Linked DNA regions of Saccharomyces cerevisiae S288C. The gene in region 1 interacts genetically with each later gene. Each region holds a gene or a part of one and is shown in the gene's direction. Other genes may lie near its edges.

Region 1 (8,158 bases):
GCCCGCATGGTTTCAGAAAGCAGAGCGGGACGATTCCAAATTAGTGGCCTTGTGCTTTGCATGTCAATTGTGTTACCTTCAGCTCGTGGATTTGTTTTATCAATACACAGTCTACAGTCAAGAATTTTTTTTTATCAATTTGTGCGTTCGAGCGTATAAAATAGCCGCTGTAGCTACTTAAGTTCCTGTTCAGCGATAGTTTTTTTCCATCACACGTACTATGGCACCAACTTTGTACTATTCCTTCCCCGTTTACTCAATTCTTGAAGCCAATTTGTACAATTCCCCATTAGAGTCAAATAAAAGGATGCCTCACGGAGGTATGTTACCCGCGCTATTTCACATGGCTCATTGAATTAGAGGTGGAATTTGGTGTACCCTCCCCTCCTCATCTGATGAAGTAGTGATCCGACAATTCTTAAAAGTTGTAGACATTACTCTTACCACCAACTAAGTTGTATTTATATTGCTACCCTTATCCTTTTATATCTAACTAGCGCTTATAAGGTTGGGGCAATACTAAAACTGTGATCTTATTCAGCTCATTAAATACGTGGCAGTACGTACCCTATTAGAAACAATAGGAAACAACAGAGTCGGAAGAAGCCAAATGCCAGATTTGAAGTCCAAGACCTTGTCAAGCCAATCTTTGGGAGCGGCTATTCCTCCAGAAATTGTGTACCAAATACTTACATACCAGTTTAGGGATTTGTTAAGAAATGACCATCCAGGTACGGCAGAAAAGTTTAACGAAAACTTAACTACATTTGTCAAAAGTAATTTAACTGTTAATAAGACATTCTCCCATATTTGTCAAGTTCTCATTTATAGATATTGTAATTTAACTACCGCAAAGAGATTTCACGGTCTTTTACAGACTTTAAAGGGAAATAGATGCCTTTGCAATAAGATTGAAGTAGCCGATTTCCAAGAATTAACGTCTATTGGACTGGGGAGGTCCAGTGAGATGAATAAAATGATTAAAAATCTAACTAACGAAACTCTTCTTGAGTTTCTAATGCTCACAAAAGCAAACTTAAGGGAATTCTTAGCATGTGAAAATATTCAAGACGATTTAGACGATAATATCATAAAGTATATTCTATCTCCAGGAAAAGTCTTGAGTGTAGTGGATTTCTGTGGCTGTTCAGGCACCACTTTCACAGAAAGTTTTATTAAGGCCCTGGATAAATACTACCCTAATAAATCGATTGATCAGTACCGGCTGGAACCTATTCAACAAAATTATCAGATTACCTGCTTAGGCCTAAATGATTGTATTGATCTACCATCACACGTCCTTTGGAAGATCTTAAAAATGTTACCAGAACTACAAAAACTTGATTTATCTCATACCTCCATTGATGATAGTACCTTATATCACGGCATACCTCACTGGAAAAATTTAACTCATCTTTCCCTCGCTACTTGTCTTCAAGTTACTCCAAGAGCGGTTCTGGAGTTTTTTAGTCATCACCCAACAATTACAGACCCTGACAACACTTCTACATTAGAATGGCTGAATGTTAGTGTCATTGCCCATTCCTCATCTTGGAATGAGGTGCACACAATGTTTTTACTAAAAAAACTTTGTCAACATGGCCATAACAAAACTTTGCAATATCTAAATATCGGCGGTTTACCGCTTCATGTTGCACCTTCTTTCGGCGAGGACCCTATTAGCGAATCCACTTATTATTACCAATGCCGCGATAGCTTACAGTTCATAAAGTGGAATTTTCCGAAGTTAAAAAGTTTGAGTATAAAAGGTAATAGTATCCCGATATCTACGCTCGTAGAATTTTTGACACCAATTGATCAAGACCATCCTAATTGTGCTCAAAAATTGAAGTTTTTGAATATTTCTGGTAACTCTTATGTGAATAAATGGACTATTCAGGACTCATTATTGTACACTTGTTCTCCAAGTTTAGTCGCGTTAGAAGTTTCCTTTGACTCGTGGCAACAGATTGAAAAACTAAATGATAGACATGAAATTATTGCATACAGATATAAAAACCCAAATTCGGTAATTAAAGATATTTCAACAGCAGAACAAGTAAAGTGGAAATGTTACATTGATTCTTCTTATGGTAGGAGATATTGGTTATATAAGACTGATCCTTTCCTGAATCGTGATGACTTGGATTCTAAGTCAAATTTAACTAGGTATGATTTTGAGGGTCACAAAATCATAGAAATTATAAACCAGCCGGATTTCCTAAAGTTTGCCCAAAGTAAAATCATGCTTGGATGTGGTCTAGTTCCTCAAAGTGGTATTAGACGTAAACTATGTTACAGAGATTTAAAGCCACCAGTTTCTCAATTCTTAAATAGAAAAGGTGCGATCAGCCTTGGTGATACTCCACTACCAATAATTACCCCAACATTACCTCGTGGTGGGTGGAGAATCATCCATAATGAGGACGACAACAACAGTCATGTGGAAGATAGCCAAAATCACGTGAATGCCATCCCAAGAAGGAATTCTCTGTTGAGCAGACCCACTTTAAGAAGCAACAATGGTTCTTCCTCTGCCAACCCCTTTGCTATCAATGTTTCTCCTGCATCTCAAATCAGGGATGGTTTGTACTGGGATAGGTCGGTCCATGATTTACGTGAGCTATCATTGCAAGAACAAAGAATTCAGGAGTTAGCTGATGAGCAGCAGGAACTAAGAACAATCGCAAACTTTGAAGAGACTGACGACGAATATTTGCACGATCCCGACTTGCAACGGAGAAGGTCCCAACTTCACTTATTTGAAAGTTCGCGCTCACGTTCAGGAAATAAAACAAGACCAAGTTTAACTGGTGAACACTCGTCCTCGGCATCGTTTCTATCCTTCTCCCACTTCAACCACCTTCACAAGCGTAAGAATTATTATTTCACGCATCCCGATGAATTTGTCTATGATCCAAAGGATCCTCTGACGACTCAAAGATATAGATTACATTTTGAAATAGTCAACGAATATCAAGTTTTTGGGTGCATTGAGCGTGGAATGTATAGATACTACAGTTTAAAAGCATAGATATTTTTCTCTTTACTTCCTTACCCTTCCTCCGCTCTCGTCTTGTGTCTTGTATATGATTTCTATATATGGTAAAATATTGCATACATCGTCTACCATTTAGCCAGACTTTTCGGAAACGAATTTAATGATTGCAGCAAATTCCCTTCCCCTATCAACTGATTGAAGAATGCCTCGAAACGCAATGTGATTTTTAAGTTTTCCATTTTTTTTTTTTTCATAAGGGAAGCCTCTCTCCTCCGAAAAAGGTAAACATTGCGAAAAATGATCCAAAAGAGAGAATAAAAAAACAATTAGAAAATGATTTACTCATCCGCTTACTAGAGAGGCCAAACCGGATAGTCCTGACGCTAATAAGAGTAGGATTAAGTTCATTGTGGTGTGTTTTTTTATTGCGCGTAAGCGATACCTGCAAAATTCATTATAATTTTCAATCACCTTCCATCAATTATCAATACCCCATACTAAGAACAGGCAATTGGTTTAGGAAGGAAAATAATAAAGATATCCAAAAACAACTGGAAGCTTTCCAGTCGCGACCTCTGTTTTGTTCGAACTTCTAGTTAACAAAAGAAAGACCATTCAATTGCTTTTTTAATATTCATTATTGACGATTTTTATTTCTAGGCGATTACCGGTATACTTTTCATTCTTTTGATAAGATAATAAATCCAATTACATTCGCTTATTTTAATTCAATTTAGACTATAACTTTCTCTTAACTCTAGGAGTTTCTTTCTTGAATCGAAGCATTTTTGACAATACCCAATATCCTCTTTCTACTTGAGAATTTTTTCGATTCTACATGAAGTATGATACAATCAGACGAAGATAATTTGGACTCTTCTGAAACGACAGCATCAACTTCATATAGTGGTACTTCCTCTGTATCATCCAGACTACAACTAAGAACATCCTTGTTTTTTGAAAATCTTAATGGAGCACATGGGAACCCCGATGCGGAGACAGAGATGGCTACTGTTGCCTATGAAACCACAAGTAGAGGTCAAGGATTTGCTGTATACATCAACAATGAAAGGTTTTCTCAAATAATGGGAGCATCCACAAGCTCTAGCTCTAGTAGCAACTCGTCCTCTATTACACAATTTCACGATACCCAAGATAATAATATACCAAGCAACACTACTGTAAGGCCAACTTCACTTCGACGAGACAACGAGGATACCGTACCGTTAAGGAACGTAACTCCTTCACAAAACGCGGCGGTACGGCCAGAAAGAGCAGTGAATTCACCATCTTCGCAGAGATTAAGTTGCGCACTGACAATATCAACTTCAGTTCTTATGGGAGAAGATGTTGAAGGAAGCCCTATAGAGCAAGAGCATAGTAGGGTCGTATCTTCATTATACTCATCTTTGGCGAATCGCGGGAACGACGAGTCAAAGAATGGAACACCTCCACGTCCTACCTCAATTGAACCTAATGAAACAACGGAACACTCATTTTTCTCATACCATTACGATGACACCTTAGAACCAGATGTTGAAGAGGCAGTGAGGCTAACGAAGAATAAAACTTCTAATGTTAATTTTATAAGCTCAACTGGCAGTAAAGGTGAAGGCGAGACCGAGGATGAAGTCATAGATCAATACGAACCTGTGAATGAATCAAAATTTATACCGCACAAACTAAAAATTCCAGAGAAGGCTGGATCAATAAAGTCGTCGACAAGTGATGATTCGCATTCGCCAGGTGCGCCAGGTACGTCGGCAAGGAAGATTAAAATTCCTCAGAGTCCATCGTTAATTGGTAACATATTGATTCCTTCACACAATAGTGACAGTAGTAACGAAAGTTCTCCTAAAGACCATATAGGGCATAATAATGAAGAAAAATTCAGTTCAAAATCTACGCGCAAGCCCTCCACATCCCTAGAAGAAGAAGGTCCACCAATTGGACTACCTTCAATTCCCGTATTAAGAAGTGTGTCCGGACCAAGCAAATGGACGAAGACACCTTTACGCTTAGAATCTGGAAATTCAACTAAGTCTGATCCATTTTCACGCTATGAAGGACACAAGACGCCCTCTCCATTGACCAAGATGAACAAGAAGAAAAATAAAACGTTGCCAGAACATGGACAACCCCTCGTGCTAGCTCCAATTAAATCTCAAAGCTCGGAGTCAGACACGGGACAGAACTCCATTATAGAAAAGCCAGCTCGAAGCATACGACGAAAGCAACAAGAAAAAACTGATAATAGGAAAGAAGACAGGCACGATGCTGAAAATATAGACCTGGAGGCGAGAATGCCAATTCAACATATCGATACCGCTTCCATTCATTCGTTTGATTCAGGTCAAAATGGATTCAGGGACGTTTACAGCATCGAAAACATCATTGTGATCCTCCTATGTTGTAGTATAGTGCCGCCATTATTTTTTATTATTGGCTGCAGCTCAAGAAGGAAATTAGTTTCAGACTATAGATTAATGAGGTTGCTTATGAATAAAGAACACCGAGCGGCTTTGCTGCAAGGATTCATATGGGACGTTGATTTAAGGTGGTTCCGGATGTTTTGTCTGATCTTAGGGGCTGCCGAAACAGTGATTGTGATGGCCGGTATTGCTATTGGATTTGGTGTGGGTATAACACGTGAATAAGAAACTGTATCATTCATCAAATAGGATAAAAAATAAAAAACTGTTCTGTCTCGTTAAAGTCATATATATAAATAGGGGATTTTCATTAATTTATATATATAGATATACTTGTGTACATGTACCCGTAAGTATCAAAAGAAACGTGCATAAGGACATGGCCTAAATTAATATTTCCGAGATACTTCCTTAAGCGGTAACTTTCTTTTCAATCAAGTCGAATAGAGTAACAATATCGGCAGAGAATTTTCTGATACCTTCGGACAATTTTTCAGTGGCCATAGCGTCTTCATTCAAGTCGAATCTGAATTTAGATTCGTCGCTGATGTAAGAAATCTTGTCGCCGGCTTCCTTCTTAGCGGAGACAGGGTCCAAAACTCTTGGGAAAGGTTCAGTACTGTTCATCAACTTGTCCAATAAAGCTGGAGAAATTGTTAGATAGTCAACACCAGCCAAGTTTTTGATTTCGTCAGTGCTTCTGAAAGAAGCACCCATAACAATAGTCTTGTAACCGTACTTCTTGTAGTAGTTGTAGATTTTCTTGACGGAAATAACACCTGGGTCGGCTTCACCCTTGTAATCTTTACCAGTGCTGGATTTGTACCAGTCTAGAATTCTACCAACAAATGGGGAAATCAAAGTAACTTGGGCCTCGGCACAGGCAACTGCTTGAACGAAGGAGAATAATAGAGTCAAATTACAGTGGATACCGTCCTTTTCTTCCAATTCTTTGGCAGCTTGAATACCTTCCCAAGTGGAAGCAATTTTAATAAGGACTCTTTCCTTGGAGACACCTTCTTGTTCAAACAATTTAATGATATGTCTAGCCTTTTCAATGGTAGCTTGAGTGTCAAAAGACAATCTAGCATCAACTTCGGTGGAGACTCTGCCTGGAACAATCTTTAAGATCTCCTTACCGAATTCGACTAACAATCTGTCCACAGCATTTTCGACTTGTTCTTCGGTGGTCTTACCATGCTTCTTACCGTATTCCACGGCAACATCGATCAACTTGGCGTAAGTTGGTTGCTTGGCAGCAGCCAAGATCAATGATGGGTTAGTTGTGGAGTCTTGAGGTTGAAACTTGGCAATAGAGCCGAAATCACCAGTGTCGGCAACAACGACAGTGCCGGAGGCTTTCAATTGTTCTAGAGAGTTGTTAGCAACCTTTTGTTTCTTTTGAGCTGGTTCAGACATTATGTACACGTATATGTGACGAGTTCGAGAAGTATTTTACTATCGTACTAAATTTTACCTGAAAAATTATATACTCGAGAAAGAGGAAGCCAAGAATTGAGAAAAAAGAAAAACCCGCGAGTAAGGAAATTAAATACAGGTGTACACATACACGCACACATATATATATATATATATATGTATATGTGTATATAGGAAGCGCGCGCATGTTAGTATATACGATTCGTTGGAAAGGGGCCGTCCACCAAACGTGACTTGACGAGTTGACAAATTGACCTCAATATGGCTCAGTCAGTAATTTTTAGTTCCGCTTTATTCCCGCCATCTTTCAGGCCACGAGGGTAGCTCATAACGCCGCGCTAATGCCGCTGCGTCACAGCAACCAGTAGCTCAGCCAAAACCGAAAGAGAAATCGTAGCTGTCCCGATGAGGACTTATACACTTGTCACCATCTAAATAAATTATTTATTCGCGTTTCGGTTCTTGTTTTCGATTTAATTAGATTGTTCATTGAATCATAATAAATATGTAAAAAATATATATATTTGAAGCTGCTTCAGAAAAACAGGGCTTCCTAGTGTACAGATGTATGTCGGATGAAAAAAAAAAAATCTTAAATGTGAAATTGGGTCAATTCAATTGACTATGACTTGATGTTGCAAAAATTCCAAGAGAAAAAGTTTCCAGCACTTGATATTATTTTCCTCTTTATTGGTTTTCTGGTCTCAACTTTCTGACTTCCTTACCAACCTTCCAGATTTCCATGTTTCTGATGGTGTCTAATTCCTTTTCTAGCTTTTCTCTGTAGTCAGGTTGAGAGTTGAATTCCAAAGATCTCTTGGTTTCGGTACCGTTCTTGGTAGATTCGTACAAGTCTTGGAAAACAGGCTTCAAAGCATTCTTGAAGATTGGGTACCAGTCCAAAGCACCTCTTCTGGCGGTGGTGGAACAAGCATCGTACATGTAATCCATACCGTACTTACCGATCAATGGGTATAGAGATTGGGTAGCTTCTTCGACGGTTTCGTTGAAAGCTTCAGATGGGGAGTGACCGTTTTCTCTCAAGACGTCGTATTGAGCCAAGAACATACCGTGGATACCACCCATTAAACAACCTCTTTCACCGTACAAGTCAGAGTTGACTTCTCTTTCGAAAGTGGTTTGGTAAACGTAACCGGAACCAATGGCAACGGCCAAAGCTTGGGCCTTTTCGTGAGCCTTACCGGTGACATCGTTCCAGACGGCGTAAGAAGAGTTAATACCACGACCTTCCTTGAACAAAGATCTGACAGTTCTACCGGAACCC
Region 2 (8,557 bases), on another chromosome or scaffold:
TTTTTATGTGTTTCCTTTTGATTGTGAAATAAAGGCGAATCCTAACAAATATTAAAATGTTTCAATACATTGATAAAAATTGTAAACATTATTTTTTTGTAGTATAAAAATTCGTTCCTCATCATTAAAGAAACAAAAAGCATACAGATAATAATAAAAAAGGCACTTTAGACAGAATGAGAATACTAGCAATCACGAATTCCTACTTTTCCTTTCTGTATCCCTAGGCGTTTCACTCGACAAGAATTGATCGTCTTGTACCAATCCAAGCAGATCGATATATACATATATATCTGGATTTCGAGAAGAAGGATATATTTTATTGCTTATTTGTCTTTTTATAAAATCTCTCCTAAGTTAAGTTCATGGGGAATCTGACTCTAAAAATGAAATCTTAGAAATGCAAAAAAAAAGAAAAAGTATGGGTGAGTCAGTTTCTTCCAAATATATACAAATGGTCATCATTTTCATTCCAAAGTTTCTTTACCAGGTCAACAAAACCATTATTTTTCGTTTCCAATTCGTAGATACCGTACAGGGACAACATGGATCCTCCATAGAGGCAATAAAGGGCGAGCTTATGCCATCTTGGATACTTTTCCTTCGGTATATAGTCAATAATACAACTTGTGAAGCCATACTGTAAATATATCAAAAAAATGGACGATAAAGACGCATCGAGTAAAGGATTTATAACCCCGCCGGTAAAGGAGGCATAAAAAGGTACCATTGTTAATGGAATCAAAGTATATTTTGCTATTCTCTCATAGTCTTTTTGATAAGAGTCCTTAAATTGAGAGAACTCTGGGGGCTTAAACATCTGCACTGAAGAGGATGCCTCTTTTGACGTATTTGCAATATCGTTTATTTTATTTTCAGCATTTAAACGATTAATGCTATAAAAGGATCTTTTGGTTGAAAGTACTAATCCTGGAAAAACAGCTCGTACAGGATTTACAATGACAGTGGAAGCATTAAGAACAGGCTTCAAGCCAGGAAACAATAGCATTACCAAAGGTATTAAATTACTCAGTTGTTGCACCTCGCATCACCGTTAATTAATGTGTGCATTCCACTGTCTGGAAGTTTTCATTTTTATCCGATCTTTTGCGAGAATGGTTTGTTTTTCAAAAAAACCGAGTGTCAACAAGGCATGTAGCGACACAAAATGAAAAATTGAAAGTTAACAGGGCAAGATATGCACCATAATAGATTCATTGTTAATCTTAATCAAATAAAATTTCTCTTTTCCACACAGAAAACTAAACGAAAGGTATAACTTTAAGATGGGTTTTGTTGATTTCTTCGAAACATATATGGTCGGTTCTAGGGTCCAGTTCAAACAGTTAGATATTTCTGATTGGTTGAGTCTGACCCCAAGGTTGCTTATTCTTTTTGGCTATTTTTACCTTCATTCTTTTTTTACTGCAATCAATCAATTCCTACAGTTCATTAACACGAATTCCTTCTGTCTTAGACTGCATTTACTATATGACAGATTTTGGTCGCATGTGCCCATAATAGGTGAGTACAAAATTCGGCTGCTCTCGAGGGCACTGACATATAGTAAACTGAAAATAATACCAACTTTAGACAAGGTGCTGGAGGCGATTGAAATTTGGTTTCAGCTACATTTAGTTGAAATGACCTTCGAAAAAAAAAAAAACGTCCAAATTTTCATAACCGAGGGAAGTGATGACCTAAACTTTTTTAAAGATAGCAAATTCCAAACCACATTAATGATATGTAATCATCGATCAGTGAATGACTACACATTGATTAATTACCTTTTTCTCAAAAGTTGTCCCACCAAGTTTTATACTAAATGGGAATTTCTACAAAAGCTGAGGAAGGGGGAAGATCTAGCTGAATGGCCTCAGTTAAAATTTCTTGGTTGGGGAAAAATGTTTAACTTTCCTCGATTGGATCTACTAAAGAACATATTCTTCAAAGATGAAACACTCGCACTCTCATCGAATGAGTTAAGAGATATTTTAGAAAGACAAAACAATCAAGCTATTACTATTTTTCCCGAAGTCAATATCATGAGTTTGGAACTATCAATTATTCAAAGAAAATTACACCAAGATTTTCCCTTTGTTATAAACTTCTATAATTTATTATACCCAAGATTTAAAAACTTTACCACTTTGATGGCTGCTTTTTCATCAATTAAAAACATCAAAAGAAAGAAAAACCGTAACAATATAATCAAAGAGGCCCGATACCTGTTTCACAGAGAACTTGACAAATTAGTTCACAAGAGCATGAAAATGGAGTCTTCCAAGGTATCCGATAAGACGACGCCGCCCATGATCGTAGATAATTCATACTTACTTACAAAAAAGGAAGAAATCAGCAGCGGCAAGCCCAAGGTGGTACGAATCAATCCATACATATATGATGTCACCATAATTTATTACCGAGTCAAATATACTGATAGTGGGCATGATCATACCAACGGAGATTTGAGACTTCATAAAGGTTATCAATTAGAGCAAATATCTCCGACAATCTTTGAGATGATTCAACCAGAAATGGAGTCTGAAAACAACATAAAGGATAAGGACCCCATTGTTGTGATGGTAAATGTAAAAAAGCATCAAATTCAACCATTACTCGCATACAATGATGAGAGTTTAGAAAAGTGGCTTGAAAATAGGTGGATAGAAAAAGATAGATTAATCGAGTCCTTGCAAAAAAATATTAAAATTGAGACCAAATAAAGATCCTGAATCATAATATATACGTGTGTACTTCACTTTCTATAGAGGAAAAAAAGCTAAAAAAAAAAAAAAATGATAAAATAAACGAAAAAAACCATAAAACGATCATGATAGAATAATGTACATTATTAAGAATGCTTCATTGATGACATGCAGTGCGAAAAGAAAGGAACAAATGAAAGAAGACCTCTTCATTTCTTCTTTGGAGCTCCCAAAGGCGAACCGATGTTGTTACCTCTCAATTTAACGCCTAAGGCTCTTTCCAACTTAGACAAAACTTGTTGGTTTGGAATAGCTCTAGCGGCTTCATAATCGTTTACCACGGTTGGCTTTTCGTTAATTTTGGTTGCCAAATCCTTCTGCGACATTTTCTTGTCTGTTCTGGCACGCGAGATGGCCCTACCGACATTTGGATCCAATTTCTTGGGTTTGACAATATCTGTCTCACGGTCGACCTTGGTCAACCTCTGACCCTCGTTGTCACCCCTCGTATTGGTTGATCCGTACTTCTTGTCAACGGAAACAACCAACCCCTGTCTTCTTGCAGCATTAATTTGGCCTTGAGATCTGGCAACGTTGGCCCTTGGGCCAGAACCACCAGCTCTTGCTCTGCTACCAATAATAGTATTTGTATCCCAGTCAGACATTTTTCTTTACGATTTTGCTCGTTAACTTTTTTGTTTTCTAGCTTATTAGCTTTTACAGTTATGGAAGCGTAGATTCAACCTTCCCTAACACATGAAACTATTATTGGTTAAGCGACAGGCGCCTTTCCAGCTACCTAATATATACCACCACCGTCAAGGGGCGCCCGTTCATGAAAGAGGCAACGATGGTGATCGATTATTTCCAGGAATTGTTCCATGACGTTCTACGTGGTTCTCTTGGTCGGGTAATACAATCAGGGTAACATAGTCAGGGTAACAGAATCCTTGCTTCTATTACCCTCCAATGCAAAGTTGACTGGCGTACATTTGGGCCAAGTATCAGGCCTACCATCTTTTCATCAGTGTTCGATAAATGAGACGTAGTGACCCAAATTCAGTATGTCTTGATAGCTTAGTAAGACTTATAAGCATTTTCACGCATCTTGGAAGAAAGTTGCGAGCATTGCCTTAAGATTCTGTCATGCGGGTGTCGATAGCGTCACGTGAACACATTCCAAGTCCTTTTTTCTTCACCTTTTTCGGTACCTGGTACCTGAGCCAGGAATAGAAGAAGGATCTGAAAAACGTATGCAAATATAGCAAGAGGGCGTAAGCTTAGCCTCGAGGCAATGGCGTTTTAATTATTTTAAGATTTTTTTTCCATAAATAGTGCTGTTATTAAGTTGAAGTGTTTGAGAAGGGAGTGAGCGCAAAAAAATAAAGAACTAAGGAAGAAGAGCTTCCCTCAGATGATTACGCAGAATTCTATACCAGAGGTAAAAGAAGATTTTATTGGTTATGCTTTACATGAGAGAAGAATTCGGTTACCGCAGTTTCAAGACTTAGGGCCGGCAGACTTGGTCACACTAACAAAGTATTTGCCCACTTCAAGTAACACAAATGCCATAAACAGTACGAGTAGAAATGGTGCGGCCATTATTCAGTCCCCTGCAGCCGTTGTAGCCGATGACTCTGCCGCTTCCATGGCAACCAATGGCGATGCTAGTGACACCGCCGTTACCACAAATTATACAAATGCATCTATATACAGTAGCAGCAGAAATGCCAATGATGGAGCCCCGATGGTCGCTGAGCTCCATCCACTTGATAAACTGAAGGACGAAGTAGGGACATTTTTTTACTCAATGGGTGTCGATACATCCGGTCCAACTTCAATCGCAATTTTTTTGAAGGAGATTTCAGAGGTCATCAGCGAGAAACCCCAAGTTTGGTTTGGCAGGAAGAAAACCTTCAATGTTGCTCGAATTTCATTTTCCACTTGGAATGCGTTCAGGAGATGCGACATAAATGTCGTCGTTCATATTCCAGGATCGATTCAGAACTTTATAGTGGATTGCAACGGTGAAAGTCAAAATATAGAGATGTGTGCGGATTATGACTTAATTTGGGCTGAAACGTTCGTAAGTGGCGTAGTACGGTCAATCATGTTAATGAAGGAAAACGCTGAAGAGGGAGAATTACAAAATTTAGTGGAAACCTTGATTTTGAACCCGTTTACTGCAGGACAAATCGACGATGTACCAGAAATGTTCATTGATCTGTTCCCTATAGTTTACCATAAGGGCCCATTATTGGGAGCTCCGTATTATATTACCAATGTGACGAACACTAATAACTATTTGGTAGAAACACTCGTTGAGATAGTTAAGCTGACTCGTAATGTTAGCAGGGCGGAAATAATGTTGAAGAATCTGGCTACCGACAACCCTGAGGCGATCATAATACTAATCAAGATCTTTTTGGTGTGTGATCAAGAATTAGACGCAATAAAGCTCACATACGATATGCTTTCGCAGGATAAAATAATAAACAACACTAATAACCGCATGGATTATAAATCTGAATTACTGTGCTTACAAGCGCAATTTTTGATAGACAAAAGGCAGGATTACAGCTTGGCGCAAAACATAGCGCAAGAGGCAGTCAATTGTTCTCCCAGTGAATTTAGACCTTGGTATCTTTTATCCAAGGTGTATGTAAAGCTAAATGATATTGAAAATGCCTTACTGATACTGAATTCATGCCCTATGTCTCCATTAAAGGAAAAATACGTACTGAAAAGAGTAGCTCCGTTGCCTTCGAATAATAGTCTTCATTTGCCATTGCCAATTGACGTTGTACTGGATGAAGTGACGTCGTTGAATCCACAAGACGTTCAGAATGAACACCGCTCTGCGGATCCAATGCTGGTCAATTTAGCTGCGTCGAACTTGAAATCTACTTTCCAATTGGCATACCGATTATTGACAGAAATTGTGCAGATCACCGGCTGGGAAAATCTGTTAAAGTACAGATCAAACATTTTCGTTATGGAAGAAGAGTACCAAAAATCATCATCTTCGTTACCAAAGGACGTTAACAAACAAGAAGAACAGCCTCTGAGGGCTAAACGGCTGTGTGAACGATGGTTAGACAACCTCTTCATGCTTTTATATGAAGACCTGAAGATGTATACATTATGGCAAACCGAACAACTGTACATGGATGCACAGAATAACAACCACAATAAGTTGACTTTCGAATGGGAGTTATTTGGCCTTTGTGCACGTCGACTGGGCCATTTCCCTGAGGCCGCCAAGGCCTTCCAGAACGGTTTATCGCAGAGATTTTCATCAAGGTGCGCGAGGAAACTGCTGGAATATTGTATAAACGAACGCCAACGGGTCAAAAATTTTATAAACTCACCTAATTCGCATGACATGGTCCCTGAAATAGTAAGCTCACGCATAAGAGAGCTAGACAATAGCATTATCGACCTTTGCGTGAAGATATGCTGCTGGAACCACCGTTGGTATACGGAATTTTCCATAAGTTTACTTGATTGTTTAAGTGTGGTTATTCAAGATATGAGTCTGACCAAAGTTTCGAATGAAATCTCGTCAAGATATCCAGAAACTGTTCTCAACTTGGTGCAGGAGAATTTGCTCAATTTCTTCACTACTTGCACCATTGGATGCTACGATGCATAAATACGATAAAAAGACATTAATACGTATATATAATCCAAAAAAAATTGGCGATACGCTTCAACGTTGTGTCAAACTCTTGGGTCACTTTAAAGAAAACCCAGCATACATTAATACAGAGCAATGCTGGTTATGTAACTTCGCCGCCCGCCGCCATTCGAGGAAAAATATTCGTGTTTCGAGAATGCGGGCAAAACGAAAATATCAATAAAACACATACGGGAAATTCATTGTGCACAACGACCTCTAACAATTTCTGCCAAAAAGAAAGTTCAAGAGCGTCCCATTCATCATGAAGGAAGAGCTCAGCAAAGTGAGCAGTATGCAAAATTTCGAGATGATCCAGCGTGAACGATTGCCAACATTGTATGAAGTGTTAATACAGAGGACATCGCAGCCAGTTGATCTCTGGACTTTTTATACATTTCTTTCACAATTCCCATATGCCATCAACTATCTGGACTTTTGGGTTGACCTTATGACACATACACGACTTTGCAAAAACTACATAGAGTTGGTAAGAAAATCATTAATCAACTTTCCACAAGAACAACAGCAGAATGGAAGTACATCTACGGCTACATTTGACTTGCTGAACGCACTGATAGAAGAAGGGCACCTAGACCCGGAAGCACCTGATAAACTCTTAGAAAATAGCGGCCCAGACGTGCCCTTTTCACCAAAATTAAACGAATTGCTGGGTGATTGGAAGCACCAATCGGGTATCGGTCAAGAAGCCCTGAGAAACGAAGACGTAGCGCTGATCGTCGACGAGATAATGAAAAGGCGCTCCCAACAAGACGGAAAACCGCAGATAACTACAAAACAACTGCTGCACAGCGCAGTTGGTCTCTGCAACACCTATTTAGTATCGCCCGAACAAAGCGAACGGTACCTGAGCAACATCCCCATGGAAACGCGGAACCGCATAATAGAAAGCGTACAAATCGAGCGAAAGTACGACATTGAGATTTTTGACGACCTAAAAAACCTAACTTACCAATTCCTAGAAATGGATTGTTTCCCAAAATTTCTAAGCCGCGTCGCACTACACAACATCCACGATGAAATATCTGATTGGAGATTCCACTCAGTGGGCGTCACCAACGAAAAAAGCAATCGCTCTCGAGGCCAGACGCACATTTCTCGCTCGCCATTCTCCAATCACACGTCAATCAGTCGTATTGGCTTTGGTTTGCTCTGGCTAGGCATCGGCTTTTGGATCGGATATGTTCTAATCTTCCTGGCGTATAGTCGCGCAATCCGTGTCGTTACGGTCGTGCCATTTACACTGGGATGCTACTGCATTGTGTGTGGCATGTATCAAGTGGACATTGTGTATTCCTGGTTTGGCGTCACACAGAGACTTCTCCACAGACACAAAAACGCTGGCAATGACGAAGGAGATGCTTCTAGTGATACCGATCACGTGCCAATGATACTTGCGGTGTTCGGCGGTAGGCGCCGTCTTACCCGCATAGAGCACCCATTTACTCGGCAGCTTCTACGTAAGCGTGGACTGTGGTGTCTGCTTCTCGTAGTGGGTGCCACTGCCGCATTCACAGTTATTTTCAGCTGTGTTCCCGGCCGTCGTGTATGATGTAATCCATCACCCCCCTATAAAAACACCTGTGCACCGCATATTTCCATAGCGCGTGACGCTAAGTACAAGAAACAGCGAGGGGCCGTTAAGTGCAGGCTTTACCGAGGGCGCCGGCTGGCGCTTCCCGTGGAAGGGTGTTTGACTCATCATCGCATCGCATTACCTCATGATGAGTAAATAGTTGCGATTTCACTTATCACCTCTCGCGGAAAAAAAAGGCGATGACATGATATATAAGGCTCTCTCGTAAGACACTTAACTATCCAACGTTCATTAGATTATTCGGTCAATTTCTTTTTTCATGCCCCTCCTTTTTCTTTTCTTTTCTTGACTCGTCGTTTCTTTTTCTTTTTTTTTTTTTTTTTTTTCTTCAGAACTATAACACATAGATACACTCGAACATCTAATTGTTTAAATACTGCAAAGAATACAAGGTAATCGACTCTTCTACATACCCTTTTTGCAGATTTGAAATAAAAAAAACATTATATGTTTAGCTTATCGAACTCTCAATACACCTGCCAAGACTACATATCTGACCACATCTGGAAAACTAGCTCCCACTAATTTCATTGCTTAATAATCAGAAATTCT
Region 3 (7,702 bases), on another chromosome or scaffold:
ATATTACTAATGGGGTAGAGGCTGATATACGGGGAAAAGGATAACAATACCAAGACATTTATAGTATTCCACATCACTAGACGTATGTAATAGACAACTTCCCCTTGGAATTACCAAAACGCCAAAAATTCGGAATTACAAGAGAAAAGTTAGATCAAAGGAACAACAAGATCAACGAGAAAGTGGGAAAGTTTATTGCCCTCAGCCGTGCCAATAAGAATAGCGTCACAATGAAAAGAAGAAGCGATGCTTTGTTGGGAAGTTTCCAGGCCACCAACGTTACGCCGCCAAGCGATAATAGTAATAGTACGGCCGGTGGAGCCAATGGAAGTAACTCAGGAACACCAACTTCTACTAGCGGTAAGAAGAGAAACAAGCTTATAAAATCTTGTGGCTTTTGCAGAAGGAGAAAACTTCGTTGTGATCAGCAAAAACCTATGTGTTCTACATGCATTTCTAGAAACTTAACAACCTGTCAATATGCTGAAGAATTCAACAAAAACATCGAAAAGAAAGCTACCTATGGTCCCTATCCTAACGCCGATTTACTTAAGAAAGTTGAAGAACTAGAAAACAAAATACGTATTCTAGAAGCTGAAAAAAACACTAATTCGTCTGCGAGCTCCATGTACACTTCGCCAAATTTCCCTCCTTTAGGCACTAGTGTAGGTAGAGGTTCTACTGAAACTTCATCTCCATTACCCGATGGTGTAATAAATCCATATGCCGACCGGTACTACCTACAAAGTAAACATTCCGGAAGATCAACACTATACGGCCCCACTTCTATGAGAACCCAAATTGCAAATAGTAATTGGGGGTTCATTGAAAAATATAAACAATTATGGGCGAAGGTTAAAGTAGAAAGAAATAAATGGAAGCAAAACAACCAAAAAACGATGTGCAGGGAACTAGGCCTTTTGGATGAGTCGGATTGGCAGCCAGATCCATTAATCAAACAGATATGTCGTTTCCTACCATCATATAACAAAGCTTTGTCTATTTTAGATGATTTCTTTAATGATGGAGCATGCAATGAGATCAACGTGATTCTTGATAAGGCAAAAGTTAGAAGAGACTTTTTAGATTATTTCATGCCCGAAAAAGAGGTAAAGGCGGAAGGTGACAGATCCATAGTTTATATTTTATCCAATCCAAAGAAAAATTATTACAAAGCTGCTGTGATACTATTAATCCTATGTCTGAAATACTTCCATACAGATGTCCCAACCCCAATTGAGAAGTTCTTTACTTTACTAAAGGGGGCCTCCACCGCTAAGGTGTTCTACATTGAGCGTGCACAAATGTTAATACTTTTCTACTACCATCGTGAAACATATTCATTCGGTGGAGATGGCTCCGATTTGGTTAATATAAATGAATGTTTAGTTACTACGGTTACTACAATAGGGTTGCATTTAAACATTAGAGAAACTTTCAAGGAACATGAGGTTTTTATGGGTAGCATCGAAAGTTTAGAAAATGTCTGGTTAATGGCAATATTTATCGATTATAACATATCTTGTAACGTTGGTAGACCCTTATTGATTAACAAATTTTATCTAGACGAAAACCAAGATCATTGCATATTGAATAGTAAAAGTAAAACATATGAGGGGAAGCTGAAAAGATATTTAAAACTTACAAGGCCAATGTTGTTAACTCTTTATGATAGAGATAAATTCCCGGATTTGAAAGCTTATTCCAAGCGAATTATCAATTTTGTAGAAGAAGAACTTGGTCCACTTGGACATTACACAGGTGAAAATATATCGGAAGAAGTTCCATTAAGGGAAAGTAGAATTTTAAGTATGGCAGTCGGACTATTATTGTCGTTTTATGCACTAATACATTCTGTGCTGAAAGTCAGAAACATAGAATCCAAAAATAATACGTTTCAATTGGTTTTGATCAATTTTTCCATCATTGTGAATACCACAATTCGATGCTATCGTATCGACAAAGCACTTTACCCAGAGAAATTCGAAGCCTCCAACCCGCACTTACCGCCACATATGGCGTTATCAATGAGCCTCACGGCAGGGCTTTTTTCCAAAACATTGGTGTTTTTTTGTTCTCTGATCTACTTTAAGTTGACGCTTTTCGAAAATGGACTATGTCTATCCAACGATATGGAAGTTGGATGGTCGGATTTGACGAAATTGACTGTTCCTTTAGACAAGGATCTATCTTTAGGTACAGCAATGAGCTTGTACTCGTCAATCTTCGATCGCTTGTTCACGGTCGGAAATAAAGAATTAATACGCACAATGCATAGATCATCACAATTTGTGATAGAGCTAGCTATTGAAAGGACCTATAGGACTATTCTTGGCAACGTTATTGAATTCAGAAAGTTGACCGAGGAAACATGGCTAGCACAAATCAAACAAGAACTAGATCCGCAGAGCGATAATCCATCATCAGAAGCTAAAATTGTGAGTGATAGGCAGCGGGATCTCAGCCTTGCAGTTCCAACGCCCACGCCCTCAATAATTCCAATGTTACCCTCGCCTGGTGAAACTAAGAACCATGCAAAGAGTCAATCAGAGATCATTCAGATGCTGACAGATGAATTTTGGGCAAATTATAACTCAGGCTGGGAAGAGTTGATTAATCAATCTGAATTTTCCACTCTTTTCGATGATTACAAAGACAATTAATGCTAAGTCGAGGCAATCTCGCGGCGCGACTACTTTGAAGCCTTTTTTTAGTTCTTTTTTATGATCAAAATGTTTATATAATTACCCAGATTATCAACCCACTTCGATGATGGGCCGCACCTGACAGAAAAAAATGAATCAACTGGCTACTAAAGATGGTACAAAAGTTCACTTTATTCAGATATAGAATTGCTGAATCGCTGCTTACCGCCATACGCTTGACTACTTTTACACCCGTACACCACACATACAACCGTACGACTACTTTTCATGCAACAGCGTGCGTTTCGACATGTCTTACACACGAGTAGATCATCCCACTGGAAAAATGGCTTGTCACCTGAGGCAGATTTTGGCAAGCCCACTGTTTTTCGCAAATTATGTACTACATGCAGCCATTCACTACCCTTCGAGCGACATACGCGGCGACATCCTGTAGAGCAATGTTGTCCTTACCAAGACGTCTTGATGAAGGATAAGCATACGCGAAGAGATTTCCTCTCGGAGAGCCTGCAGGGAGCGGCGCACCTCGCCAGCGGAGTTATCACACGTAATGGTACTGAGTGAGAGACCCCGCCCGACACCGCACGGCCATTTGCAGAAAGAAAAACAAAGTCCACTACGGCTAATTACTGCAGAATGCTTTTTTTTCTTTTTTTTTGTGGTTGGTATGTTCCCTTCTAACAGGATTCTTCCTTCGGTAGATCCTTGAGGGGTTTAAGGGGTTTTCTGTTTGCGTAATGGCGTAATTGCCAGCTATATATAACATTATCATCACATATATATCCTTATACGTAGCTTGCCCTTATATATATATTGATATGCGGATATTCGTTGAATGTAGTTCAGTCGTAATCGCTACTTATTGGTAATCATAGCAATTGAATGCTTCTATATTCCTTTCTTACTTTTTTTAATTGCGCATTATAAAAAACTTGAAGGTGCATATTTCCGATTAGGGCCATCAATAGTGACCATAATTATCGGTACATTAATACGTCATGCCATTGAATGAAAAATACGAGAGGCCTCCGCAACCTCCTCCAGCATATGATCCCAACCATAGGCCGCCCAGTTCTTCCGAGAACTCTGCCGCGGCGAATGTCAACGATGGCCAGACGCCGTACCATTTTAGACAGGATCAATATTACAATCTAAATTCCAAAACGAGTGGGGCTCCTATAGGGAGCTTCGACGAGGCCTTTCCTACTGAAAATGACAACAAGCCCAGGTGGAACGATTGGCCATTTACCATTTTTTTCCTATGCACGGTAGGCGGATTCATCGCCATTGCTGCCATAACCTTAAGAGCGTGGTCCCAAACCTATAGCAGTACGGGTTCCGGAATATACGATGGTGTGAATACTGGTACGCTGAACACCAATGCTGCCATCCTGCTAGTTTTCGTGTGCATTATTGCCCTAGTATTCTCCGTTTTGGGCCTCACACTTTGTCGAATTTTTCCGAAGCAGTTTATATATTGCGGTATGGTCATCAACCTAGTGGCTTCTCTTGGGACTGCCATCATGTACATGTCTTTGAGGTACTGGTCTGCAGGTATTGTGTTTTTAGTCTTCACGTTCATGACCGCGTGGTGCTACTGGGGTATGAGGTCTAGAATTCCCCTTTCTGTGGCGGTATTGAAAGTCGTCGTCGATGCCATGAAGAAATGCCCACAGATCTTCTTTGTTTCATTTGTTGGAGCGCTAGTTGCTAGTGCGTTTGGGTTTCTCTTCTCAGCAGTCATTGTGGCTACGTACATAAAGTACGATCCTAATAGCTCGAATGGCGGCTGTGACGTTTCTGGTGGCAGCTGTTCGCATTCCAAATTGATTGGTGTTTTGGTTGTGGTTTTTTTCTGCGGCTATTATATCTCTGAAGTAATAAGAAACGTCATACATTGTGTTATTTCTGGCGTCTTTGGCAGCTGGTATTATATGTCAAAGTCTGACCAAGGAATGCCAAGGTGGCCCGCATTTGGAGCATTGAAGAGAGCCATGACTTACTCGTTCGGTTCCATTTGCTTTGGGTCCTTGCTAGTCGCTTTGATCGACCTGTTGAGACAAATATTGCAAATGATCAGACACGATGTTACCTCCAGCGGTGGCGGTCAAATTGCCATCCAGATTTTGTTTATGGTGTTTGACTGGATTATCGGCTTTCTGAAGTGGCTCGCCGAGTATTTCAATCATTATGCATACTCGTTCATCGCTCTTTATGGTAAACCGTATTTAAGAGCGGCCAAAGAAACCTGGTATATGTTAAGAGAAAAGGGAATGGACGCCCTAATCAATGATAATTTAATTAACATTGCACTGGGTCTATTTTCAATGTTTGCTAGTTATATGACCGCTTTGTTCACGTTCTTGTATCTAAGGTTTACCTCGCCTCAATACAATTCGAACGGCGCTTACAACGGCGCCCTAATGGCATTCTCATTTGTTATTGCTTTACAGATTTGCAACATTGCAACAGAAGCCATTAGATCCGGTACTGCAACTTTCTTTGTTGCTCTTGGTAATGACCCGGAGGTCTTCCATCATTCTTACCCTCATAGGTTTGATGAGATTTTTAGGGCATATCCTGATGTACTCAGAAAATTGAGTCACCAGAATGTGTGAAGAGATGTTTATCATATGTCACTATTTCTCCTTGTTCTTCTTAACAATTCTATATTTAATTACAATATTTTAATACTTAATTTTTTCTACTTCAATTACCTTTAAGTTCTATCTTTATTAAATTGTTTATTTTGTTTTTATACATTCTGTGCAGATTAACAATATGCTATTTATTAAATGACTATTCAAACCTCGAATTGATATTCTTTCTTGAATACCATCCAACAAACGCCCTAATTCCTTCCCTCACCTTTCTGTAATCCTTTGAATTCAACCCCTCAACCACGGCCTTCGCCAAATTATCTCTTTCATTAAGGGTTACTTGGCCAAGTTGTTCCACCACTTTGTAAATCCAATCGATGCAAATAGTGGCATCGTTGTTGTTTGCCTCTGTCAATATCCTTAAACATTTTACAATACAACTGATGGCATCTGAATGAGCGGTGTTTTCAAAAGTAGTAACCAGCCCGATGAATAACACTAATATCAATTGGTTACCGTGGGCTATCACGACTTCGTTAATAACTTGCTTCCTCCATTCATCTGGAACAATCTCGATGGACACTGTTGAGATCGGTGGAGTCTTGAACCCCCAGGATATGATATCATCTAAGCAACGCAAGATACATATGTAAGCATCGTAGTTATCAAGCTTATTAACACACTCGAGGGCAACATTCAGTACGGGGCCTAGAAGCTCTGTTGAATTCAAAAATGCGCCAGGATAAAACATTATCAAGTCTGAAATTAATGAGAAAAAATCGATTATTGCCTCATGATAATCGTTTAATTGAAGTTTATCAAACTTGTTGAAATTCAGTATGAACGTCTCGCATTGGGAGAGGGCAAATTTCCAGACAGCATCTTTCAGACTCGGGGATATGGGGAATGATTCATCGTCACCAAATATAACAATAAGGGAACCAGAACACCACAGATAGGAACCGAATCCAGTCGTTAAATAACCTTGGATTAGAAATTCGGCAACAGAAGGTAATATTGGCTCGCAAAATACATGAAATCTCTCAAAAATTCTGCGTAGCAATTTAGCTACTCTTTCTACGATAATACTATCAGTCATTGCACCTGCATCAACTAGCAGAGTTCTTAATGCCTTCCAAATAAATTCTATCCTGGGGAGTAAAGGTTCCGATCCTTGCTGAGGATAATTGTATCTCGGTTTCAATTCTTCAAAAAGCGCATATAGCAAATCAATCTTATCAGCAATCTGTGGAGCCAAGAGCGTTGGATTTGCTTTCCATTGAGGAATCAAAGCCTCGATTTGTCGCAAATTATCATCTACGAGCTTTTGAAATATTACTGAAACTTTGGCCTCTGGCTGATTATTTATTACTGCACTTAATCCTTGACATAGTTCAAATTGTGACTCAATATCAATCGAACTCTGCACGTTGAGGAAGAAATTAATCAACTGATCAATATACCCAACTAATAGTTTAGAGCAGTCCGAACAGAAGAACATTAATGCATGTGATGATGCAGTGATTATACTTTGCATATCCGATGAACCCTCATGCAGTTGAAAACCGTTAAAAATATATTGCAATTGAACTTCTAGTAGTTCTGGATGCTTGGCTGTCCATTCGGTATATCTACCAAGAACTAATGTTGATGCATACCTAATCTTGGCCTGCTCTGGAAGGTTACAAATGATTTTAATGATTTCTGGCAATATAGTGTTTTCAGTCAACGAAATTTCTTTAGCCATAGTCCTCAGGGAAAATAATGGGGCTTCCATTATTTGCCAGCTATTGTTGTTTTCTATTGCGGACTTAATTCTTATTAGTGGTTGCGATAAAGCCTCAGAAGTTCCCACCACTGCAGTACAGTCTTTTAACACATCGCCCATATGATACCTGAAATCTTTAAATTTATCTTCTTCCTCTTTAGATGAAAACTGGCCTGATGGATATTGTAAATGAGTAATTATACCATTTATTAATTTAACAAAAATATCAGAGTAAGCTTTTCTTGATTCTTGATATCTTGGCAAAACTAAACTTTGTTTGAAGTTAAACCAAAAGGGGAAAGTATAGGAAACGACATCTAAGTCTTCATTTTTGCAGGTCAACATCAATAATACCAAAACCATTGGTTTAAAAAAATCGGGGTTTTTAGAAATGACAACTGACCAAGCCTCGCCAGCTTCTACGAATAATCGTGTCATACCTTCTAGGAGATCGTCATCATATTCATCGTTCAAAGGATGGTCTGTGAACAGAGTAGGCAATAGTTTTTCTTGTAAAAGCATTAACTGATGAAATAAAGCAGAAATCAACTGCTCATTAGTAGTATCTCTGCTTTCTCTGAGGATAACGCAGAGACAATCAATAGCGGAATCGAATGCCTCCATGTCACTTTCATTACCATTGGAAATAGTTTCAAACACGAGATTTA
Region 4 (8,466 bases), on another chromosome or scaffold:
GAGTGCTCGCTGGATTTTTTCGCTTGTAATTCCACAGACTCTCTTGAAGCCATAAGTTTAGGCACCCCATCTGAGAGATAGCCTACTTCCTTGTCACTAGGACTAATATCACTCTTACTGACGTTATTATCATTGCTGTCTTTATTTTCACCCGTATTTTCATCATGCTCACCATTAACATCTGTATAATTGAGCTTGGGTAAACTAGGCAAATTAGATATTTTTTGCTTGTGAATTTCTGAACCTTTTGTGCCATCCTCGGAAGAGTAGTCATATTCGTCACTACTGTCCCATCCAGCGCCGTCATAACTTGCTTGAGATGCGCTAACCCATCTATACGATTTCTTTCTACCGACCTGTTCAGTGCTCATAATAAATATCCGCTTTCCAGAAAAAGGGTAATGATCAAACAGTCCCTTTTAACTATAATGCAAGTTTTGTGTTTACCTTGTTAACCATGTATGAAAGTGGTATTTAGGAATACTTTTAAGTGCCTTACAGAATTCTTGGCATGAGAAAAACAAAATAGCTACCCGGAATGAAACACTAATGTGTCACCAAACAAACAAACGACGTTATATAATTGTTGTGATATTTGCATCTTCATCTTATGATGATGAGAATATAAATAATTTTTAATCGTATTAAGTGTATATATGAATAAGCTATTAACCCTACCCATTAATTTCCGGGCGGGTTGTTATTTTTATCAGTATTGGCCTCTGCCGGGCGGCTAGCACGCTGGGTAGCTGCTGCGACAGCGGCTTCTGCTGCTTGCATAGCATTTTTTTGCATTTTTTTACCTGCAAACTTCATACAAAATGGCATCAAGGATGTATTGAGGGCAACCCATGCCACGAGAATACCGTAATTTCTTCCCATTTTTCTTTTGGTTAAATTCAAAAAAATCACTTTATAGATATCCACGGCATTATGGATTGGCATTATGTAGCCGTACCTGTAAAATTCGTTGTTCAAAACCATTGGGTAGAATGAAGCAGAAATATTTAATATGATCCACGTCATCAACCAAATACTCAGGTATGGAGGGCAGTAAGCTATAACTAAGCTGAGAACGTTTTCATTGGCACCACCAACAGCCATCATTACCAACCACGTAGACATCCAATATACTACGAATCCTCCTCTGCCAAAGGCGGGGGTGAAATCGATCCTAAAAATTGCAGATACGGTACAGAATCCAATGGAAAGAAGAAAATAAGTTGCCCAGGAAATTAGAAGCCTGTAGATTAAAATATGCTTTGGCTTCAGAACTCTGGCCATTTCTCCGTGCAACTTACCATATAATGACAGTTGTAAAACGGTTAACAAAATACAATAAATCAGACCGACCTGCAGAGGGGCCATTAGAATACGATCAGCAAAGGGACGATAATCGTTGTAGGTGAACAACAACTGTCCTGCAATCGCCCAGTTCTCCATGTTTATATTAAGATCTCTGTCATTAGAAGTGATGTTGCTCATCAATGAGGGAAGATATTCCTTGACGTAATATTTCTGAAGGCGGACCTCCAATTGTTGCATGAGTGGTAGAATGGTCGATTTAACACTCGATGGGTCACGACCACTTTCAAACACGGATTCAAAAAAAATTGATGAATTGAACTCCGAGTTTGCGTCTTGGCTAATCAAAGAATTATACAAAGTGTCTGTAGCATTAGGTTTAACGTTTAACGCCAGCCAGTATCTCTCATCGTAAATTAAATCGACTATCTTTCTGTCAATTTCGGTGGAGTTCGTCGTACCAAATTTCCTATGAAATGATGTTGCGTTGTATATATGCCATGTCCCGGGGACAGACGCTAACAATGAGGGTATGATCGCGGAAATAGATTGAACTGAAGTATTAGATGGCGCATCCTGCAATACAACAATATTTTTCACTTTGAAAAAGTAACGATCTGTTCCGTAACAGGCACCCCAGTAAATCGATATGAGCGATACACACACACAAGCAATGAAGAAGTTGTTCAAAACAAACTTCGAGAGAATCTTTTTCCTATGATTTCGCAGTCTTGGAGAAAAAAGCCCTGTTTGAATTCTTGCCAAGGGACCGCCGTCGTTACCGCCCTTCTCTTCCTCATTAGCGCCACCTTCCCCCACAGATGACAATGAGGACGGCTTTTCATCAGGAGGCCGATAGTCTTCTAATGACTTTGCTAAGTCAGAAGAATGGCCGGAACCCTCAGCAAATCGCTGATTACTGTACGAAACCCCGTCCCTGCCGCCAGTAAATGCAGCTGCTGCTGCAAAACTAGGGTCCTCAATGTACTGTGACTCTTCATCACCAACCGATTTAGTCATATTTGTTCTCTGTACGGCTACTTACACTTATGTCAGTACCCGATTCTTACGGCGTATAAAAGATTAAAGAAACAGGATATGTGGCTTGATATATACAAAAAAAAAGAACGATATGGAGTACACTATGTATCTCTCAACAATGCTAAGATATGAAGACGCTTATTGACTACGCCAGTCCGTTTTCCATTCCCTTCTTCGAATAGGGTGGCCCGTTGATGACAAAGCTGCGAGTCATCTATCATCAAACAAACTCACGGCTTTCGCTTTTCTTTAGTCTATTTCGGATTGTACCACCTCCTCGGACATTCATAAAAGGATTCGAAAACGAATAACCACGCATATACACGGAAATAGGAGAAAACTAAACGGGAATCGGTTTATTTTTTTCTCAACATTTCTTTTTCCTGATTTTCCATCCTTTTCGAGATCCACCTATTGTGGTGAAAAATAACGAAAATATGTGCTTTAGGTGTGCAAGGCATAATGTGTGGCATACTGGAAGGAACAAGTTGAACACGCCAGCTGGAAAGAAGTTCAATACCAACTTGCCCAATGCCTAACTCAAATGTTCGGATTCCTCCTACTGTTCCATCGAAGATAATAGATGTGGTCGACCAAGCGCTAAGAGCGCGACTCTTAGGTGGCAGCACCTTCAATTCAGGGTTTGATAGTTTAGATTCCGTACTTAACTTACAGTTTAGACTACATTACCATGTTATTGGATCGAATGGGCCTGCAAAACCAGTTTGTGATGTTTTACTGAAGGAAAGTCAAAATTTAGAAAAGAATATGAGTATGATGGAGGAGTTGAATGACTATCCGGAGATTACAAAACTAGTGGAGAAAATTCTGTTCAATTGCCTCGGTATTCTTTTCTTCCACAGGGGCCAATTTCAGGAATCGCAGCGGTGCTTGCTGCACTCGTTGAAAATTCATAATAACACTGCATCGCAAAAAACAGCACTTATGGAGCAGTATGATAGGTATTTGATCGTAGAAAACCTGTACTACCGTGGTCTAGTTTCGCAAGACATAAATATCATGCAAAATGTTTTTTACAAAGAACTACTGGCCCACGTGGATACGATCCCTCCCGAATCAAACGGTCTTCTTTTCGAATACATCAGCTTGATCGTCGCAAAACTCAGGTTCAATCAAATTCAGGATTTAGCAGAAAATTTTAAAACTACCGTCGAAAATCCTTTTATTCTTTTCCTTTACATGATAAAGAAGTTCCAGTCACCTCTCAAAAAGCACATTGATAATGATGATCTTTATTTGAAGTTCGGACAGAACGTTTTGTTGAAGGCCAAATTTCCTACTGCTAGTGAGACAAATGATGAAGCTTTGGAGCATTTTAATGTCTTTTTGCAGTATTATTTCAAATTCACTCACATAAAAAAAATAAAAGTGAATCCCAGTTGGTATAATTTCATAATATCTTCAATGGAAAAGACTTTTCAAAGTATTGAAGTTTCGAAAACAGCAATGTTTCTTTTCCAAAACCTAAGCGATAACAGTAATGACGAAATAAAGAAGAAGACATTTAAAAGAGAATCTATACTAAATTTTGTTAATTTTGTGAAATACAACGACAAGTACTATCAACTGCACGATAACTCCCACCGTGACATAATTTCATTCATTGATGCGTATTCTTTTATTTTACAAAACTCCTCCAAAACCGATTCAATCGAAAATGTTTTTGATTACGATAATACGGTATCTACGTTTGCGACTTCCTTGAATTCCTTCTACAAAGAATATAATTTGCCATTAATGAGCCAATCAGAATCTTTAGATTGGCTAGAAAACAGCACCAGATGTGTATACCCAGGAAACATTTCGAAAGTTCTAACAAATGCGTGGTCAACATTGTACGAAATCAGAAAATATCAGTTAGATTTTCTTGTATCTAATAATTTGACTTCATATCTATGTAATGCAATGATGCTGTCCACAAAAGAAAAAGACAATGCTGATGTAGAAGAGCAGGAAGAAGGAGAGGAGGAGAAGGCATTACGTGAATTACAATTTAAATATTCTTACACTCTAGCACAACAGAGGCACATTGAAACTGCAATCAAGACTCTAGAATCATTGATATTAAGTAAAAACCCAAATTACTACAAAGCTTGGCATCTATTAGCTCTTTGTAGGTCTGTGCAAGAGGATAAGGAAATGTCGTACAAGATAGTTTGCTCTGTTCTAGAAGCTATGAATGAAAGTCTTCAGAACAATACTTTACTTCTGAATGATAGATGGCAATTTATTCACCTAAAATTAACGCAATTGGCGCTAATTGAAGAAATTTTTGGCACTTTAGAGGCACTGGAGACACTTCCAGAGGTCTTTGAATTATACGCAACATTATTTCCAGATTCACAACCTGAATTGAACAGCATGGGTCCCAAATATTCTCAAACTAAAGAATATCTTTTACAAATGGTGTGGATTTTTGCTGCAAATATGTACATGAGAACAAAAGACAATGATGAGGATGCCAAGGCCGCCATCAAAGAAGCCTCCAATGTCGAAAGTAAATTCAAGAATTTAAATTGTAATATTGCTAACGGTTATTTATCAATAATAAAAGATGAACCAGGCGTGGCATTAAAGGAATTTGAAACAGTTCTGTACTATGATGAGAATAATTTAGATGCCTTGGTCGGATTCGCTGAATTAATTTTCCCTGAAGAACTAGGCGTCGAGGAAACTAATCTTGAGCGTTATTATACTCTCAGCCTTGATAAAAAACCAGGTAAGAGGGCCAAACTTACGTTCGTTAATGACACAGATAGGTCAGCAGCGTATGCAAGACTAAAATTTCTATTGGAGTGCGCAATACTAGAATCGATCGAGGCTTACTATTCCCCAGAAGTTTGGTGGTATTTGTCCCTCATTTACGAGAAATATCAAGATGACGAGTACAAAAACTCTTTGCTAAAATGTATTAAATACCAAGAGTTGAATCCCATTCGCTCCCTAAGGTATTGCAATTACTAACGATAATTCTTCTGATATATACACACACATATATACATATGGGCGCAAGTATATTCTGGTGTAAAGATACTCATAGAAAGCATAAAGATGTAATTCAATCTAGTTGTATTATATTATTCATTGATTTATATTAATTTGATGAACAATGGAACATCTTCTCTTCAATAACGGTTTTGCCCATATACTTGACGTTATTAGGTTACCCGTTTTTATAAATGTAATAAGTTCAATAATTTGAAAAGAGCATTAGCTATAGTCACGTTTCGCGTTGAAACAATTCTTTAAATTATCTTCTCTTGGCAGTTTAATATACCAAACGATAGTCCTAACATACTGTTTTTCTTATTATTTACCAATGAGTAAAGCCAAGGGAACGGGATTTTCATCAATTGATACTGAAGATGAAAACTTACGCGAACGTTATGTTAATCAACCAAAAGCTAATGCCTCCGATATTCAAGATGAACAATTAGATTGCTTTGAGCAACTAGAAGAAAAACATAGGACAAAAAAAAATGAAGAATACACTGCGTTGAAAATTTTAAGGGATGTCATAGGTCCCCTTTTATTAACTATAACTTCGTTTTATCTAAGATTCCAACATATAGATCAGAACAATTATGTTGTCTGGGATGAGGCTCATTTTGGGAAATTCGGATCATACTACATCAAACATGAGTACTACCACGATGTCCACCCTCCACTTGGTAAAATGCTTATTGCATTGAGCGAATGGATGGCAGGATTTGACGGTCAATTTGACTTTTCCTCTAATAATGCATATCCGGAAAACGTAAACTTTAAACTAATGAGACAATTTAATGCCACATTTGGAGCTCTATGTACACCAGTAGCTTTCTTTACAGCCAAATGGATGGGGTTCAATTATTTTACTGTTTATTTGATTGCTACGATGGTAACGTTGGAACATTCATATATTGTCCTCTCAAAATTCATATTGCTAGATTCAATGCTGCTTTTTTTCTCGATGACGACTTTTGCCTGTATGATAAAGTTGTATACGTTGAGAAAGCAACAAATGACGAAAAAATGGTCGTTATGGATGTTATTAACTGGTTTATCTATTGGTTGCGTTTGTTCTGTGAAATGGGTTGGTCTTTTTATCACAGTTGTAGTCGGCCTCTACACATGTATAGAACTATTTTTGCTCTATTGTGATAAAGAATTGCCTAGAATAAAATATTACAAACATTGGCTTATCAGAATCATTAATCTGATAGTAATTCCTTTTCTTATCTATCTCTATTGCTTCAAAATTCACTTTGTGTTGTTGTACAAATCTGGCACGGGGGATTCTACTACAAATACGTTATTTCAGATAAACTTGGAGGGAACTCAGATTGAGGCGGGTCCTCGTGATGTAGCATTTGGGTCAGAGTTAACCATAAGGTCGCATGGTTTAAGCCCGAATCTGCTGCATTCACATATTCAAGTATACCCAGAAGGCTCTGGACAGCGCCAAATCACTGGATATGGATTCGCAGACTCTAATAATGTTTGGAAGTTTGAATTTTCTAGGTCTTCTGGATTGGAACTAGATCAGAACGGGACTTTGAATGGCAAAATAATCCCAATAACGGATGGTGTGGAAGTTCGTCTCAGCCATAAAAATACAGGATCGAATCTTCACTCGCATGATGTACCTTCTCACGTCTCTAGAGGAAATTATGAGGTTTCAGGCTATGGGTCACAAAGTGTTGGCGATGAAAAGGATGATTGGATAGTGGAGATTGTGAAACAAATGGATTCACCAAATCCCGTCTATTCTAATGAGAATTCAACTATTTTACATCCAGTTTCTACTTTCTTCAGGTTGAGACACAAAGTTTTAGGTTGTTACTTGGCTTCTACTGGATTGACGTATCCAGCTTGGGGATTTAAACAAGCTGAAATCGTCTGCAAAGACTCCTGGAGTCGTAGGGACAAATCGACCTGGTGGAATGTAGAAGATCACTGGAACCACAATTTAGAAACCGCAGAAGATTACGTTCCACCAAAATCCAATTTTTGGACCGATTTTATTCTAACTAATTTTGCCATGGCCTCCTCTAATAACGCGTTAGTGCCTGATGAGGATAAATATGATAGTTTATCGTCTGATGCATGGGAATGGCCAACCTTGCATAAAGGGCTAAGAATGTGTTCATGGGCGGGATATATCACTCGATATTACTTGATGGGATCTCCCTTCAATACATGGATTTCTACTGTCTCCTTAATCATCTTCCCATTTATTATTCTTTTTATATTATATCGTTGGAGGAGACAAACGCTTTATCTCTCAGACGATCAAATCTGGCAAATAACGATACAGGGTATTTTTCCTTTCATTTCCTGGATGACACATTATCTGCCTTTTGCAATGATGGGGAGAGTGACGTATGTACATCACTACGTTCCCGCTTTATATTTTGCAATGCTTGTTTTCGGATTTGTGCTTGATTTCACTTTGACAAGAGTCCATTGGATGGTCAAATATCCCATCTATTTGTCATTGTTTGGCGGATGTATATACATTTATAATTTATTTGCTCCAATATGTCAGGGTATGCATGGTGATAAAGCGGAATACTTACCTTTGCAGTGGTTATCTACTTGGGATATCGCACCTTAGTAAAAAAAAAAAAAACTCCAACTCCTTTACACAGAATCACGAAAATTGTAAATAATAATGCCAAATAAAGGCATTAACTTATTATCCTCTTCTTTTCACATGAGAAATGATATAGATATTGCCTATTCATATGCTAATGAGTATATACGGGTGGACAAATCACTACTTCCTACACCTAAAAATAATTTACCGTTTCTCTTTAAATGTGACCACCTCAATCTTGTAATTTTGTCTGCTGGTGTTATATCCTCGTTTAGCTGCGTTATTAACTCAAACTTTCCCAAAGTATAACTGTATAAATAAATCTCACCGTTTTCAAGACCCACCGATATCAAAATTTTCTCTCTTATCATGCTGTCATGTATGGAAATAGCAGTGACAGCTTTAGTGTGTTTAATTGATGCTTCCAGAACGTAGTCATCAGCTGGCTCCTTTTGGTGCCTCCATACTTTGACAGTTTTATCCCTGGACGCGGTGACAAAAACATTACCAAACTCTAA

Evidence for each region.
Region 2: of BUD8 (region 1) and BUD7, changing one enhances a phenotype caused by changing the other (phenotypic enhancement), as found in Saccharomyces cerevisiae (one study listed by BioGRID).
Region 3: mutations in BUD8 (region 1) and PNS1 together harm fitness more than expected from each alone (negative genetic interaction), as found in Saccharomyces cerevisiae (2 studies listed by BioGRID).
Region 4: mutations in BUD8 (region 1) and PMT6 together harm fitness more than expected from each alone (negative genetic interaction), as found in Saccharomyces cerevisiae (2 studies listed by BioGRID).

What each region holds. Positions count from the first base shown.
Region 1 is NC_001144.5:830,506-838,663, forward strand, and holds BUD8 (Bud8p), read left to right. Parts: upstream 1-3,846; coding exon 3,847-5,658; downstream 5,659-8,158. Other genes in the region: LUG1 (Lug1p), read left to right, coding at 611-3,034; sedoheptulose-7-phosphate:D-glyceraldehyde-3-phosphate transaldolase TAL1, read right to left, coding at 5,845-6,852; ILV5 (ketol-acid reductoisomerase), read right to left, coding at 7,561-8,158. UniProt on the Saccharomyces cerevisiae protein: Involved in positioning the distal bud pole signal.
Region 2 is NC_001147.6:874,313-882,869, forward strand, and holds BUD7 (exomer complex subunit), read left to right. Parts: upstream 1-4,122; coding exon 4,123-6,363; downstream 6,364-8,557. Other genes in the region: TIM18 (Tim18p), read right to left, coding at 431-1,009; MUM3 (Mum3p), read left to right, coding at 1,287-2,726; MBF1 (multiprotein-bridging factor 1), read right to left, coding at 2,918-3,373; RAX1 (Rax1p), read left to right, coding at 6,653-7,960; YOR302W (uncharacterized protein), read left to right, coding at 8,453-8,530. UniProt on the Saccharomyces cerevisiae protein: Member of the CHS5-ARF1P-binding proteins (CHAPS) which mediates export of specific cargo proteins, including chitin synthase CHS3. May be involved in positioning the proximal bud pole signal.
Region 3 is NC_001147.6:634,521-642,222, reverse strand, and holds PNS1 (Pns1p), read left to right. Parts: upstream 1-3,664; coding exon 3,665-5,284; downstream 5,285-7,702. Other genes in the region: YRR1 (Yrr1p), read left to right, coding at 231-2,663; YOR161C-C (uncharacterized protein), read left to right, coding at 2,956-3,102; mRNA transport regulator MTR10, read right to left, coding at 5,466-7,702. UniProt on the Saccharomyces cerevisiae protein: Probably involved in transport through the plasma membrane.
Region 4 is NC_001139.9:891,816-900,281, forward strand, and holds PMT6 (dolichyl-phosphate-mannose-protein mannosyltransferase PMT6), read left to right. Parts: upstream 1-5,686; coding exon 5,687-7,966; downstream 7,967-8,466. Other genes in the region: FYV8 (Fyv8p), read right to left, coding at 1-371; SNG1 (Sng1p), read right to left, coding at 682-2,325; YPP1 (Ypp1p), read left to right, coding at 2,878-5,331; Elongator subunit ELP2, read right to left, coding at 8,089-8,466. UniProt on the Saccharomyces cerevisiae protein: Protein O-mannosyltransferase involved in O-glycosylation which is essential for cell wall rigidity. Transfers mannose from Dol-P-mannose to Ser or Thr residues on proteins.